Arabidopsis thaliana: one gene and its partners. The main gene of each other region encodes a partner of the protein of the gene in region 2 in a complex. Each region holds a gene or a part of one and is shown on either strand. Other genes may lie near its edges. The genes, in order: emb2394, EMB3126, AT1G29070 and PSRP6.

Region 1 (4,141 bases), on a different chromosome or scaffold from region 2:
TGCTTTAACCGCGGGTTTAGCCGCTCTTCCGATAAAAGAATCATAAGTAAACAGAGCTCCAACATTCACAGAGCTTGGCCTCTGTCTTAATGGCCGCAAAGAAGAAGAAGAAGAAGAAGACGAGTTTCTAGAGAAATTACTTCTACAAGCACATTCCTTTGGAACAACCCACAAGACAGAAACACATAACAACACAACTCTGATTGCTTTCGCCATGGAAACTTCTCTTATCATCACCAAAAATCCCATCTTTATCACAATTTCCAGCAAAAGCACTAGTTTTTCTTTGTCCTGGTCTCATATAACCATTTGATTTATTTGGAGTAACACCTGCGAAATAAACAATGCCCAACCTGAATCAAAATTGAGATTATAACAAAAGACAAAAAAGATGGTCCAGAAATCTGGTGAAAGAAGGCAAAACCAACCAAGAAATCGGGAGTTAGATTCTGTAGAGAGATTGGTGTATACAGATTTTTGTGTCTGTATATTTATTTATAGTGTATAAAATAATGTATTTATATGAGGCCCTTTGATTCTAGAAACTGGTGCTTTACATGTGCAAGTAAGAACTGAAAATAATGAAGTGTAAGAGGGCCGTCTTAAAGATGGTTCGCAGAGAAAGAAGCAAAAAGTGTAATAAATAATTCAATGAACAAATAACTAAAGATTATATATGTAAGAACATAAAGAAAAACAAAAATTAAAAGATCCAATTGAGAAAAAGAAGAAGCAACCTTGGAATAAATACGAGAAACAAACTTTAATCAGAGATCCATAATCTTCACAAGTAAACGAGTGATTTAGCACTAAGCATAAAGAAGAAAGACAGAGAAAAGAAGTCGAAGAAGCAGAAGAAGAACTGTTTCTGAGCTCAAGCAAAGAATAATTCATAATATTCTCTCTCCTTTTTTTTCCCTATTTTCTTCCTTATCATTACTTATTTTTTTGGTATTTTATGAAATTTTGTAAATTTTGTTTTGGAGTGCTATTTCTGGAGTGGTCAGTGAAGACGTAGGCCAAGGTGTGGGGTAGTATGATCGATGCTTTACTTGTGTCCTCATACTATTCGATAAATCAAATTTTTACGTTGGCTCTTATTGGTAACTATCATTTATTAAGGTAGTTGATGCATTTTTCTTTTTGGTTACAACGGATATAGTTAAATGGTAATTAGGGTAACTACGTATGACATGAGGCAAAATAATAATTGAAAATGTGAATGTGAGGAGTGACGACCTAATTGCTCCAAGGCCGCCTTCGTCAAAGAATAAGTCTCCTCAACGGTTGTCAAATCAATTTCACACAAAAAAAAAAGAAAAGAAAAAGATATTTTCAGACATAAATAGTAAAGTAATTGTACTATTGATTTCATATGATAAAAGGTGCATGAAACACATGGTCGACTATTTTTTGTCTTTAGAGTGTTCATTAAGGAATGTTATTAAAAAAAACTTATAAGAGCTGCATTTGTTATTACATAGTTCCTTATTGAAATTTTCATTTGTTAATTGTTAACACAAAATAAAATATGCCACTGAATCCACAAATATCTTGTCGGTATCGAACTTTTTATTTATTTAGAACAAGAATATCTTGACCAAATGAAATGTGAACCAGGAAAATAAATATACAGTTCATCTTTTTTTTCTTTGAATCTTCTCAATTTGTTGTTTGGATTTTTCTGAGGGTAAGGGCCCATTTCATTTTTAAATTTGTCTGTTAAGAGTAGTTTAAAATCCATGCCTTTAAAAGATTCGACTTGAAAACATACTTAATCGGGAAAGATGCACAATTTTGATCCAAACGCATCTACTAATAATCTATTGACTTCATTAATCTAATCCAAACTCCACGTTCATTGGGTAAATTTTGTGAACAGTTATTATAATAATGGGCCTAGAAACAGTGAGATAATAGGCCATGATCAATATAGATAAATGGGTTACACAAATAATGAATTGTCCCACAGAAGGATGGTTAAAAGTAATGGGCCGAAAATAGTGAGCTAATGGGCCGTGAAAGTAATGATTTGAAAGAGGGGATTACAGAAGCTGACGATGGATAAGTCTTTTCTGGATAAAACGCTCTTCTTCTTCTCTTCATCCTCCTTCTGGAGCAGAGCTTAGAGCTCCATCATCAAATCTTATCAATGGCTTCCTCACTCGTCTCATCTTTTCAACCCAGGTACTTTTCATATACTACAAACCATAGAGCTTCTTCATTCCGCTAGGGTTTCGTTTTCTTTACTTGGCATTTTCTACTCAAAAATCTCTATAAACTGTGTTCATGAGCCTCCCAAGTATAAGGAATCTCTTTGAATGGGTTATTTTTATCTTTTTAAATCGATGGCAATGTTGAATTGGTTATGGACTCTTGAAATTGTGGATTTTTATTTTGGGAATTTGAATGTGTTATGCGGAACTCACTGTGTAAAAAGCAGGATTCTAGAGGGGTTTTTAGCCATGGAAACTGAAAGTTCTACAAGAATGTTTCTCTTCCTTAATCTAACGTTATCTTTGTTCCAATAACAGTTTCTGTGTATTGGTTTAGATATATATCTGGTAGAGTTTTACTTTCTTGACATGTTTTATCTGAAGATAGATAGATAACTTCCCCTTTGTTTTAGGTCAGCATTTTTGGGAGATAGAAATGTGTTCAAGGTCTCAAGCACACCTTTTGCTCAAGTGGGTTACTCCAGTAAGACCATTGAGTGCAAAGAATCAAGGATAGGAAAGCAACCGATCGCTGTACCTTCCAATGTAACCATTGCATTGGAAGGTCAAGACTTGAAAGTGAAGGGTCCATTAGGAGAGCTGGCTTTAACTTACCCACGCGAAGTTGAGCTTACAAAGGAAGAATCCGGTTTCTTAAGGGTCAAAAAAACCGTCGAAACTAGAAGAGCCAACCAAATGCACGGCCTTTTCAGGTTACAAACTTCTCATCTTTTCTTGTCATCCAATGAAGTCCTTAACTTTTTTGAGGTTAAAAGATCGTTTGTTCTCTAATCTTTTTTTTTAACTTCTGTGTGACTTTTAGGACGCTTACCGATAACATGGTTGTGGGAGTATCAAAGGGATTTGAGAAAAAGCTTATACTTGTGGGTGTTGGTTATCGTGCAACAGTAGACGGAAAGGAGCTGGTGCTAAATCTCGGGTTTTCACACCCGGTGAAGATGCAGATACCGGATAGTCTGAAAGTGAAAGTGGAAGAGAACACAAGAATCACTGTGAGTGGATACGACAAGAGCGAAATCGGGCAGTTTGCTGCAACGGTTAGGAAGTGGAGGCCACCAGAGCCATACAAGGGGAAAGGAGTCAAGTATTCCGATGAGATAGTTCGGAGGAAGGAAGGAAAAGCTGGAAAGAAGAAATGATCTTCATTTTTCATTATTATCTACTTACTTATCTCTTCCTTTCAATGTTTATGTGTATTTGCTCAAATTTGTTTAGAAATGAAGATGTTTGTGTTGGGATTCTTGAGTAAGTTTTTAAAGGAACCCATTAATTGTTTTTGATGCTCTGACAAAAATTTCTTTAGTGCTTTGATTGAACAAGAACTTGGGCACAAAGTGCCTCATCGGTGTGATTCTATTGTTATGTTTCCTTATTGAACCAAACCAATCCAAATCGGACAAAAATCATGGTAGATAAACTTTTTAAAACAATTTTTTAATCTATTCTTCTTTTTTTTAATTACAAATTTTCTTATTTTCTTATATCTAAAAAATCGTAACAGTAAGATATTAATATCTGTATTCTTAATTTGGTAGATAACTTTTTAAAAAACGAAAATTTCCTATAAGAATAATAATAGTCGGAAATAAAACAAAAAACAATATCATGGTGATTATTCTTATTTGCTTATATCTTCTTCTTTTTCACAATTTTTTTTTAAAAAAAATATTTACAAAATTTTCTTATTTGCTTATATATATAAAAAATCAGTAAGATATTAATATCGATTTTTTAATTTGGTAGATAACTTTTTTCAAACGATAAATTTCCTAAAAACAATAAAATATTCGGAAATAAACAAAAACCCTGATTGAAGAAAAGTCTTTTTGTTTATCAGTTCACCGGAGGCAAAAATCGTCTCTCGCTTGAGCTGCGAAGATGCAAGCAGTAAAAAGATCCAGGAG
Region 2 (4,801 bases):
ACTGAATCCTGCTGGATTGTGAACAAGTAGGCGCAGTGGCTTCTACTGCTGGACATATTCATTTCTGTCATTCATTGTTAAACTGGAAACATTCTTCAAGATGACTCTCAATCAGTTTTAACCTTTCAGTCAACTCGGAGTAGCATAATCATAATCTCACTATCGACTAAATGGGGAAACATTGAACAAGTAAGTGCTGTAAAAGCTAAGAGGATACGGGTTTCCCCAACTGCGCGGTTAGCTAAACCGGTCTGAAATGGCAATTGGCATCAGAAATAAGAAAGAAGAAGGCCGTATAAGGCAATTAAGAAACTTAGGGTAGCTGCTATCTTACGCATAGATGTTGTAATGCCTCCACCGAATCTGATACAGGCACCTGAAGCAACGAATGATTAAAACTTGCCTACCCAGTAAAGATTTTTCTCAACACTAGCAAATAGAAGATATAAGACAATGAAGCTAGCCTCTGTAACGCCTGACAAGAGTATTCCTTGTGTTTTGTTCTCCTTGATCTGTATGTTTGCTTTTGATAAGTCCAACAGGTCCCTGAGAGATATATGAATTTATCGATAAGCTATATACCCTAGAAGAAATCAGAGGGAATTACATACACAATACCTGACTTTCTCCATGTAGATCTCAACCTAGAGGAGACAAAAGACACGTAAGATGTCTATACAGGAGAGCTTGAAAGGAGACTTATAGCAAGTGCATTTAAGTCAGTACCATAGACAATTTAACAGTGTATCTTGCAATATCATTGGAAGAGCTGATTTGCTCAAACATCCCATGGACCACTCTTGGAAGAAGTCCTTTATTGTGCTCATCACAGTCCTGGATGCCTGGTCCCTGAATCAATCGAAGAAAACCAAAATGAGCCAGAAGAAGGAATGGTCCTTGTGCTACAGGAAGAGGTATCAAGATGAGTTAGGTGACCTCCATGGAATAAGTCTTCCCAGCCCCTGTCTGCATAGTATAACATGAAACGATCAAATTGAGATCAAAATCTGCCAAATTAAGAAAAAGACATTGAAAGCATTTCCAGATAAAAGAGATCAGGAGAAGAACAAACCTGTCCATAAGTGATGATTGTTCCGTTTATACCATTTACAGCGTCTGAAAGTAGTAGTAGTAGTACAAAGGTAAAAGATGCAAAAGACAAAGGTAGGAGGAAACCAAAACCAAAAATGTTGATTACATTGTAAAATCATAAGATTGGTGCTCAAATGTTTAGATCTAAAATCCAGAAGAGAAGATCAAGGAATCAATTAGTACCTCTCATGATGGGGAGAGCCAGAAACTCATAAACCGCAGCTTGGGTAGAGTCCTCATAAAAAACTCTATCGAGGCTAAATGTAAATTCATCTTCCTTGTCATCCTACACGCAAGTAAAAACGCTAGATAGAGTTTGAGAGACAGAGAGAGAGAGACAATATTAATCAAGCACACGGCGTCGAGTAGACAAACTTGGAAAACGAAGGTTTCAGCGTCGATGGGTCGAGCACAGACACCATCTCTGCTGGGATCGCGCATCTCTTTAGAGCTTCGCGGCCTGAATCGCGCACAGACGGTTACGTTAGACATCTCCTCTCCTTATCGGAACGAGCTCAGTCTACAGTGAAACACCCAAAATGAGTCAGCAGAAGATGAATGAAATTGGGGAAATAGTAGCACAGGAAATTTGAAGCTGAGAGAAAAGGAATCGGAACTTACCTCTCAAATGGAGTGGAGAGTCAGAGTAGGGTTTCTCTTACGGGCGGGAAAGAAGAAACTCGAAATCTGATTTTTGAGAAAAGAGAAGGAAGAAGAAGAAGGAGAAGGAGAAGAGGTCACGAGGATACGCGTGTGGGTTGTTAAAAGATCTAATGGTCCATAAGAAGACACGTGTCACTAGGAACACGGTAGCTAAGGTGCCCGCCACGCAGAGAATAATAGCTTAGAAAGAATAGGGGGTGTTGTTATCCCCTTGGGCGTGGAGTGGATTAGGGAGACTCGCACTCTTCTTCTTCTTCTTTGTACCCAGAAAGAAAGAGAGCTCCAACAATGGCTGCTTGCGCTACTCACTCCTCTCTCATGCTAGCATACGCCGCCGCATCCACTCGTTCCCAGGACCTTACCCCTACTCCATCTCTTTTCTCTTTTGCCAGCTCCAGACCCAACCACTTGAGCTTCCCGCTTCTTCTCCTTGGGGGTTCCAGGGACCGGAGATGTGCTGCTATTGACAGAGCTTCCAACCACAAGTTTATTGTCTCCGCCGTGGCCGCTGAGGCTGACCTCGACACGGAGGAGGACCTGGAGCAGACCGCCACCGCCGTCCTTGATCCGCCCAAGCCTAAGAAAGGAAAAGCCGCTTTGGTTCTCAAGAGAGATAGAGTATGTGCTTTACCTACTTCAATTTCGCTTCCTTTACTCGTGAATCATCACTTTGTTTGCTTACCCATTGACAGACAAGGTCTAAGAGGTTTTTGGAAATCCAAAAGCTAAGGGAAACCAAAAAGGAGTATGATGTCAACACTGCTATCTCTTTGCTTAAACAAACTGCCAACACAAGGTTTGTTGAGTCTGTTGAAGCCCATTTCCGTCTCAACATCGATCCTAAGTACAATGACCAGCAGCTGCGTGCAACGGTCTGCTTTGCCTTTTGCTGGATATACACTCTATCTTGTGCTGCTTCATTCCACAACATTTTTTAATCTCAATGCATTGTCTTTTTGTATAGGTGAGCCTGCCTAAGGGAACTGGCCAGACTGTTATAGTCGCTGTTCTTGCACAAGGTATATTGCCCCACCAAATTCACTGCTAGGACTTAGGACAGAGATTATGCTTTACCATTTCAGTCACCAAATTCACTGTTAGGACTTAGGACAGAGATAATGTTTACGGTATCAGTCAGTCAGTCAGTACTTCTCTAGATGCAACATTGTTTGGTGCGATTGACTTTTTATTTATATATTGATTGGATGGAGTTCTTGTGTATCATGTGGCTTATTCTTTCTAAATCTTTGGCTTGCACCATTTCCATGCTGAACTTCCAGGTGAGAAGGTTGATGAAGCCAAAAGTGCAGGGGCAGATATTGTGGGCAGTGATGATTTAATCGAACAGATTAAAGGAGGCTTCATGGAGTTTGACAAGCTGATTGCATCCCCGGATATGATGGTCAAGGTATGTGTTGATGATATAATGTTCTACTTGTTACAGCATATGAAACCGTCATGCTTGGCAAATAAGGTGGCATGAGATACTTGTAACTCGTGATCTATTTTCTAACATTCTTGAACTTGGCGCTTAGGTTGCTGGCCTGGGAAAGATTCTTGGACCACGGGGGCTCATGCCAAATCCCAAGGCTGGTACAGTCACAGCGAACATTCCCCAGGTAAGCCTACTCTGCAACATCTTTTCCTGATTCTGGTAGTCATGGCTTAAAGATGCATAAATCTCTCAGGCTATTGAAGAGTTCAAGAAGGGGAAAGTTGAATTCAGAGCAGACAAAACTGGGATTGTTCACATTCCATTTGGGAAAGTTAATTTTACAGAGGAAGACCTTCTCATAAACTTCCTTGCAGCAGTGGTAGGCTAATTCTCCATTCTTATTACGTATTTCTGTGGTTTAAAATACAAAAAAAAATGAAGAGGGAAAAGTAAATGATGAAATGCAGAAATCGGTGGAGACAAACAAGCCAAAGGGAGCTAAAGGAGTGTACTGGAAAAGCGCTCACATATGCTCGTCAATGGGGCCTTCCATCAAGTTGAACATAAGAGAGATGATAGACTTCAAGCCTCCCACTGCGAACTAATCGACAACGCCATTTGTAAATGGGGTCCTTTTGGGAGACGGGCAATGCCAGTGTAGACAGAGAAGAGAAACACCAAGTCTAGTCTGTTAGTAATCTTTTCACGCCTCACTGCTTTGTATCACTTTGATGGCCATTTGCTTCTTGTCGTTATTTATTTACTATTGCCTATTAAAATTTGGCAAGGGGCTGTACATGTCAGGACGCAGAACTCTTTAGTACTCTCTAAAAGAAAAGACCTTACATTGATCTTTAGGTTACATACGAGGAGGAGGTTTCTGTGTACATTACATGTGATTTACTACTACAAATATTACAAGGCCAGACTCTGCTTCGTCATTTCCATTTTGGTGAGAAGCCCTCTCATCTCTTCCTCCATTCTCATCTTCATTTCATAAAACTCTCTCTGCCCTCTCTGCATTGCCTCTAACTCCTCGTACCTCCTCCTCCTTCTCTCCTGTGCATCCTCCATACTCAACTTCCCCATTCTCCGATTGTACTCTTCTTCTATCTTCTCCTTCTTCGCTATTGCTATTCGTTTCAGTCCCTCTGCTTCTCTTCGTGCATCATCGGCCCGCCCTTGGAACATTTCTGCCTCTGCTTGCTTCATTCTCACAATGCTCTCTAGCTCTTCGAAACGAGGTTCCTTTGGTGAACCCCTTTCCAACTCCATCTCCACTGCACATATTTCAACTTGCCTCTCTCTGTGGAATGCATCAGCTACGCTCGCTGACCTTTTCAGCTGATTATGCGGGTTATCTGAGCACACCGATCTCAGCCACGCCGTGTCCTGACTAGGGCTTCCCCTCTCATGCCTGGGTTTTGGCTGTTCGTATATGAACGGTGCACTAGTTTCAGCAGGAGTGGAGGAATCACAGTCTGCAATCAACAGGCAAAGTATCGACAGATTGTTACAAGGAATATCTATGGCACATATATCACAAGAATTTAACCAACATGTGTTCACTGTGTGATCATCTATACTAAAACAGACTAATAAAGCCATATT
Region 3 (3,996 bases), on a different chromosome or scaffold from region 2:
GGCTAAGCACTAGAAATGCTTCAGGTTCAGAGGAAATTCAGCTGAGGATTGATCCTATGCACTCTGACCTGGATGATGAGATTCTAGGTCTCCATGGCCAAGTCAGGCAATTGAAAAATGTAAGAAACCCTCTAAATCCCATTTCGATCTTTCTACTTTTTATCTATAGTGCCATTTGTATTGTCTTCTTGTGGTTCTGAAGGATCATTGTTCTCTTTAAGCTTTAAGTTGATCATATGAATTTGGAAATTTGTCTTCTTTTCGGTTTTGACAGTGGTTAGAGCTTGGTTAATTAGTTGTGTAGGTGTTTTTTTGTTCAGGGTACTATGATAATGTTATTGTTCACAATACTTATCAGTCAGTCCACGATTAATTAGTTGAATCCACTTGTCTGATGTCTTTTGTATACATCTGTGGTTATTGTTTTATATCACCACCCTTCTTGAAGGAATCAGTCGACATTCTCTACAATTCCTTGTGTTTTACCTTGCACTTTTGCGCATTATTTATCCCTCATGATTTTTTGTTATATCGTTGATCGCTTATTTTGATGCAGATTGCTCAAGAAATTGGGTCAGAAGCAAAGTCTCAGAGGGACTTCTTAGATGAACTGGTATGTTGTTGATGTCCCTTTAGTTTTTTCTTTATCCATCATAGTAAATTGCAATGTAAGCACTTAACATCAGTAACATGCATTCATTTACTCTTCTTTACCTTTAAGATGAATCACTGATTATATATAGTATATCCGAATATCGGTTTCCTATAACTTGTTTCAGATGTCTCTGTTCATTATTAGTTGGGAAAATATAGTTTCATCCTAACATATGTTAGATAACTTTAACCGTAGCTTACAAAACCAATGAATCTTGATAAATCCAAAGTGTAGATTATGTTTACTTAGGATCTGGTCTGAACGCTGGTGGTGGGTAGGATTAGATATCTTCAATCTCACCTAGTTTGGTGAAATGCAGCAGGAAATGGTTACAGCTTATCATTGAGTTCCTGCCACTTTGTCAATGAGAATGTTGGTGTTGAATGTGTTCATTGCTTTTAGTTCGTTCTAGTTTTTTCTTTTGTTACCTAGAAGAACATCCTAGAGAAGATAATGACAAACAACTAGATTTGGTAGTGAGACTGCAGAAACAAGCATTTAGTGCTGTTATAAGCAAAATAAAATAAGTAGACGAAATGTTGTTCTTGTCTGAAACATAAAACGCTTCAATGGTATTTTGTTTTTGTTTGTGACAGCAAATGACATTGATCAGAGCGCAAGCAGGGGTGAAGAACAACATAAGGAAACTGAACCTAAGCATAATCCGTAGTGGTAACAACCACATAATGCACGTAGTTCTTTTCGCGCTCCTCCTCTTCTTTATCCTCTACATGTGGTCCAAGATGTTCAAAAGATAGATAGAGAGACTCATGGCATACTTGTGTTACCCCCCAAAAAAAAACCCTTGATGAATGTTGGATAAGTTGTAGAAAATATCCTCTAGATTACAAACATTTTGTGGTTCTTCTCGTTACCTGTTATATAGAGTGCCTGTTTTTAACAGTTTACATGAAGCAAAATTGTATCACAGAACAACAGCATGAGATATTTTAGACCAGTTCAAATCTGGCCTTAACTTGATTAATTACCCGTCCGGTCCAATTCAGTATTGGGCTTTTATAGTCTTATGGGCTGAAGTGTCGTGATACGTGTATTATTATGGTTGGTTCTTATGCGTAAGTTTATGGTGGTATCGTCCGTAGACGATAGAGGTTCCACACTATGTAAAGGAGACCGGAGAAACAAAGGAACTGGGTTTGGAGATAAGAAGTGGGAACTTGAATGGCTTCCTTATCCACTTCCGTTGTAGCTTCGGCTTCGTCGCGTTTATGGAATCCTGCTGCCTCCAACGGCAAGATTTGCGTTCCTTCTGCTTCGCTTTCTCTGCGTACGGGTTGTAGACGGAGTTCGTCCTCTCTCACTTCTTCCGCTTCTTCGCAATTGCTTCATTGCTCGTTTCTCTCGTCGCCTGTTTCCCTAGCGTCTCCATTTTCTGGTACATCTTAAATTGGTTCGAATTATTGTTTGTGTTTAGCTTCTGGTGATGTAATGTATCAAGTTCTTTTACCCAATTTTGATTTTTTTTTCTGGTTCTTTGGGTTTGGTTGATTTATCACTATTCTCGTGTGTTAGGCTCTAGCTTACTTTGCAAACACATATATTCGAAGCTTTTTTAGAAGAATTTGGGAATTGTGAAACATAGTTGTCAATGGTGAATTCGATTTGGGAGTGTGAGTGAAAGAAGCCATTTTGTTTGTTTCTGATATTTCTTGTTAAGTTTATAACAACAAGTGAAGATAACATTTTGCAACTTAAGCCTCAATTTCTGATATCTTAGCTCATGTATTTGTAGCCGCAAGTAAATGTTGTTTGATTTTTAGTACAAAAATCTTTTAGCTCATGTCGATTATTTAGGTACAATGGTTATAGATTTGCTTCAATATGTCACATGAACTTGTTCCTCCTCCTTTGATCATAATTTTCTTGTAAAGTATATTGTACGACCATTGTAGCTAGGCTAAGATTTGAGCAGTGAATTATAAGCTTTGCCAATTTAGCAACAGACGTTATGGTTATAGCTCAAGAGTTAAAAGGGTAACCTAGGAGAATGCATTAAAGTCATTTTGGATTTGTCTGGGTCTTGATTCTGAGCAGTGTGTTGAGAGTTTGGTATTGTATGGTGAGTTCTTTGGGTAATTAAAGGAAGGAGTTTACCGGTTCCAATATTATCAGCTTGATACACTATCAAACCTATAATGTCACATTGATCAAAATGGTGTTGCTGTCTTTTCAGGTTTGTCCATTGCGTTTGATCTCAGCAGTCAAACTAGTGGACTGAATGGCCAGAGACGCAGAGGCCTTGTGGTTAGAGCTGGAAAAGCTGCTCTGTGTCAAACTAAGAGAAGCAGATCAAGAAAATCTCTAGCTAGGACTCATGGTTTCCGTAGAAGGATGAGGACCACTAGCGGTAGAGCAACCATAAAGCGTCGACGTGCCAAGGGACGTTGGAACCTCTGTCCCAAGTCCAACCCTAGCAGCGGCAAACGGGCTTGAAGTTTGTTTCTCTCTTCACTCTATCTGTAATCTTGTTTCATGTGCTTTTTTTCCACCAGAAGATACAATGAGAAACATGGTTCGTTGAGCTCTTTTCTGCGTTTTAACTCTCTTGCATCCTTGATTCGTTTATAAATCAATGTTCTTGGAATTCATCACATGTACTACTATACTACTTGCTTCATTGAATTTGTTACTACTCGAAGTCTCAACTTCAAAGCCATAATTACTTAAAGATCTCTTCTGGCCACCAGGATAATTCTGGTGTGTAAGAATTGTTCAGATTCCAAGTAGTGTTAATGGTTGCTGAAAGTTGATGTATATAGTTTGGGGTTCAATCCCTGAAGGATTTTACTTTCATTTACTAGTTTTATTTCAACCTAACAATTACTTTTAAGTACTAACCCTAAATTATATTCCCCTTAAAAAGAAAACTGCACCAAAAACAAACTAGTTAAGAAAAATGAAACCAAAACTAAAAAAGAAAAGTTCCTTCTTATTGGAAATTAGGGAGGGATCAGATTGTGTAAAAAAGAGAGCGCCCAATAGTCGTAACAGGCTTTGGGCGGAACGCTCTTCTCGCAATATAAGCGAGTTTTTACCATTCATCATATCCCCTTTAACTTGCCTGAAGGATCATGCCTTTTACGTAATTAGCTCTTTCTTTTTTATAGGCATGTTACTACCATCACTATCTCTACCTAAACGATGTGGGACAAAATAAACTATTCTCTTGTTTGAAATAAGGTTTCTTATCTCAAATTCATATATCTTTGTTTTTTAAAGTGGGTCTATAAAAGGCCTCTGTAGCTCTCTTTTTTTAAGGTGGGCCGATAAAAGGCCTCTGTATCCTTTTTTTTTTTTTTTTTTTTTTTTGTCTACAATGT
Region 4 (3,214 bases), on a different chromosome or scaffold from region 2:
CTTACCTGTAAATAGACTAATATTTGTTTATATAAAACCATCAAATAATATTGTAAACAAATATATATATATATATGTATGTATGTGTTATATATATGTATGTATGTGTTATATCGTGTATAACTATTTAATTTGTTTAATTCACTTGTTCGATTGTATCTTCTTCTTAAACTTAAATCATCTTTTGGTTATATGTGTGTGTCTAATAACTATGTAATCTTTCTTTCAATTCTAATAAAATAAAACAAGATGTTAAAAAAAAAAAAACTATTTAACTATCCATGGTTGATGACTCGTACTTAAGACAAATAATCAAATTTCGTGATTCTAAAAATGAATGAAATTGATTGATATATAAGTGGGATTAGAAAAAAAAGAGTCAGATAAGTGTTATCTCGCGGTTATAATTTCAACGGTGCTAAGATAAGGATAAGGTTTGCGAAACTATATACTAATGCAACAATGGGTACCGTAGGTTTGTGATACCTAATTTGATCTAACCAACAGAATCTCTTCGTACTAGTGTAATCGAGTGGCTGAGCTGTTGATATAGAGATACGTAGTACTATTATTGTAAATAAAGAACCCAAAGAATCAAATTTGTCGACAACAAAATAAGGGGTGATAATCCGATGCACGTGGATTTGGTGAATGTATTGGATAATGCTAGTCACGTAGAAGAAAGTAATCTTATTTTGGGCCATAATTTTAGTAAATGTTTTTGAGTCTACGTAAAGAAGAGTAATTTTCATGGCAATCGCAATTTTCGCTGACAATTGATTATTTTGATATAATGTGAAATTGGTTAGGTTGGTGATAGTAGCTAGTTTGAAGCCTAACTTAGGCTTGTTATTGAGGTATAATACATTATTAACCATAAGTATTAGACAGGTTTTGGACAAATATATTTATTGGTCGCTTTGGCAGCATTGAAAAACCCTAAAAGCCACTAGAATGGATGTCTTCGAATGTCAGTTCACATAAATGTTCGCTAGCTTAATTTTATTTTCTTTTTTAAAAGAGAGGAAGCAATGATAACATAAACATTTTTATAGTGTTTTTTTTGAAACAAAAAGTTAGTTTTCTTCCTCAAATTCGATAACTAAATTACACCATAAATGAGAATATGTTTTTAGTTAAGTAGTTAAATCCATTTGATTCTACCTTTTTTACCAGAGTTTGACTCTACTAAGTCGTGTTACTTCGCATAATAAGGATTGACTATGAATCGTGTCTTGTTTATAAAAAAAAGAAAAAAAAAATTACACAACAAAGTTAAGAAAATTCAAATTTATTAATTTAATAAGCATACTTTGAATATAAATAAATCCTAAAACTCAAACTAATAAAAAAAGTATTTTTTTGTGTAGTATTAAAAGATGCAGAATCCGAAATAATGTATTTTATTGTAGAAGTGATTCAAAAGACCTTATCTCGTAGTCACTTGTAGCATTATTGGTTTAAGGTTAAAGAAAACATTTAAAACTCTGTATACATCATACATGACATCTTTACAAATTGCAAAATATACATTTTTAATCAGCTACTCTATTCTTAAATTCCTTTAATTAACGAGGTTATACAGTTCGATACGTTTAAGCAACAAAAAGTTCGATGCCACTAATAATTTAATTTTTGTTCTCTTCTTATCTTATAGATTGTTGCAGCCTGCAGGCTTGCAGCATAACGAGTTACATAACTATATACAAAGGCCCAATAGACACCTCAAAGGCCCAATAAAAAAGCCCAGGAAAAACGAAAACGAAGATATGAAGTTCTTCTCTAATCCGAAGCAAGAGGCTCAAACTCACTTTCACTTGCACAAAGATAAGGAAACCATGTCTGTGTCAGCGATCTTTGGTACCGGAATCGTCACCGTTGCTGCTTCTCCGGTTCTCCGCCAATTTCAAGTTCCAAAATTGGGTAATGGAGGAGGATTAGGGATGGTGATAGAGTGTTCGTCGAGGCCACAGAAGAAATCGACGGCTCATCACAGGAAGACGAGGCCGAAGAAGACTCAGCCTTGGGACATTAAGAGAAAGCCTACTGTTTACGCTCCTCTTCCTCCTCTTCCGGCGGAATGGAGTCCGTTCACTCTCGCTTCTGACGACGGTGGTGCTGCCACTGCTGCGGGAGATTTGGTTTCAGGCGCTGCCTAGTTGGTATGAGTTATCTGCTGATTTGGTTGTAATCTAGTTTGAGAACTTTTGTTGTTGTTTACTGTGTTTTCAGTTTTCTGATGTTTGTTGTTGGGTTTGTTTGTGTTTGATTGGTGAATGAATGGACCAAATTTGCGATTTATAAAGCTTCAACCTTTCTCCTCTGTTTTTGAGTTTAAAGGTCTCAACTTTATAGTTTATAGCTCTCGTCATTGTCATCTATGTTGCTTCTCTATAATTGCTTTTTTCCTTTTGGGTCTCATTAATTTCTGCAAGTAGTAATTGAATTGGGATGACAAGAGTTTAAGTTTGATATGTGAAAATGAAAGCACAATGGTATCTGTTTTGTGGCGGTTGATGCTGGAGTTGTTGTCAAATGCTCTGTTTGCTGCCATAGCAATGGGAATGTAGCTTCTAAAGAGTACGGTATAGTATACCGCATTATTGGAATTTTAAAATTTCCCTTTAGATTGGATTCAGGTGAAACGGCAATGTGCTCTGCTCACCATAGTGCAACACTTGGTCTAAACACTCTATTGTAGATTTTTAAGCCAAGTGATCTAAAGTGTGTTTGATGAAGAGTTTCAGCAAAAACATTTTTAGAAATGTTTATATCAGTTATGGGTTGATCACTCTGATTCTTGAATCTATCTTGTATCGGTCTAGTCCCAGGAGAAATTTAGAAGATCGATTTATCTTGCATTGCATGTTTATGGAGTCAATTCCAAGATCAACATCAATGGCTATACATTTCATAAAGCACGCATACAGAGTACATCCCGTTGAACCCATTAAACCCTGACACCTTAAAAGCTTAAGTCAAATCATCTGGAGAAATACACAATGAAGATACAAATACAGAGAGTTCGAAAGAATAAATAGTGTGAAAACAGAGGCAATCTATGAGTTTAACACAAAAGAGTGGAACCAAAACCAGTTTTTTGGGAAGAATGAGCTTCACTTGGGATGTTAGTGCTAGAGTTTTCAATGTAAGTCTGCCACTGGCCCTTTGGAGATTCATTACCTTTTGCTTGATCCTTGAAACAACCATTAGC

What was found.
Region 1: EMB3126 (region 2) and emb2394 share a complex: the UniProt entries of both Arabidopsis thaliana proteins name them as parts of the 50S ribosomal subunit.
Region 3: EMB3126 (region 2) and AT1G29070 share a complex: the UniProt entries of both Arabidopsis thaliana proteins name them as parts of the 50S ribosomal subunit.
Region 4: EMB3126 (region 2) and PSRP6 share a complex: the UniProt entries of both Arabidopsis thaliana proteins name them as parts of the 50S ribosomal subunit.

Annotation. Positions count from the first base shown.
Region 1 is NC_003070.9:1,501,750-1,505,890, reverse strand, and holds emb2394 (Ribosomal protein L6 family), read left to right. Parts: upstream 1-2,037; 5' UTR 2,038-2,152; coding exon 2,153-2,187; intron 2,188-2,629; coding exon 2,630-2,929; intron 2,930-3,039; coding exon 3,040-3,376; 3' UTR 3,377-3,640; downstream 3,641-4,141. Other genes in the region: GLR3.4 (glutamate receptor 3.4), read right to left, coding at 1-249; AXR1 (NAD(P)-binding Rossmann-fold superfamily protein), read left to right, coding at 4,116-4,141. UniProt on the Arabidopsis thaliana protein: This protein binds directly to 23S ribosomal RNA and is located at the aminoacyl-tRNA binding site of the peptidyltransferase center.
Region 2 is NC_003074.8:23,442,226-23,447,026, forward strand, and holds EMB3126 (Ribosomal protein L1p/L10e family), read left to right. Parts: upstream 1-1,977; 5' UTR 1,978-2,043; coding exon 2,044-2,373; intron 2,374-2,447; coding exon 2,448-2,627; intron 2,628-2,719; coding exon 2,720-2,774; exon of another isoform or gene 2,775-3,035; coding exon 3,036-3,163; intron 3,164-3,290; coding exon 3,291-3,374; intron 3,375-3,443; coding exon 3,444-3,569; intron 3,570-3,657; coding exon 3,658-3,795; 3' UTR 3,796-4,105; downstream 4,106-4,801. Other genes in the region: AT3G63480 (ATP binding microtubule motor family protein), read right to left, coding at 1-64, 218-251, 335-376, 453-546, 619-644, 727-849, 937-966, 1,073-1,116 and 2 more; TTA2 (fibronectin type III domain protein (DUF1423)), read right to left, coding at 4,106-4,671. UniProt on the Arabidopsis thaliana protein: This protein binds directly to 23S ribosomal RNA.
Region 3 is NC_003070.9:10,148,047-10,152,042, forward strand, and holds AT1G29070 (Ribosomal protein L34), read left to right. Parts: upstream 1-1,744; 5' UTR 1,745-1,837; coding exon 1,838-2,051; intron 2,052-2,849; coding exon 2,850-3,109; 3' UTR 3,110-3,361; downstream 3,362-3,996. Other genes in the region: AT1G29060 (Target SNARE coiled-coil domain protein), read left to right, coding at 1-119, 557-613, 1,252-1,413. UniProt on the Arabidopsis thaliana protein: This protein binds directly to 23S ribosomal RNA.
Region 4 is NC_003076.8:5,905,979-5,909,192, forward strand, and holds PSRP6 (plastid-specific 50S ribosomal protein 6), read left to right. Parts: upstream 1-1,610; 5' UTR 1,611-1,769; coding exon 1,770-2,159; 3' UTR 2,160-2,486; downstream 2,487-3,214. Other genes in the region: CSA1 (disease resistance protein (TIR-NBS-LRR class)), read right to left, coding at 2,896-2,957, 3,094-3,214.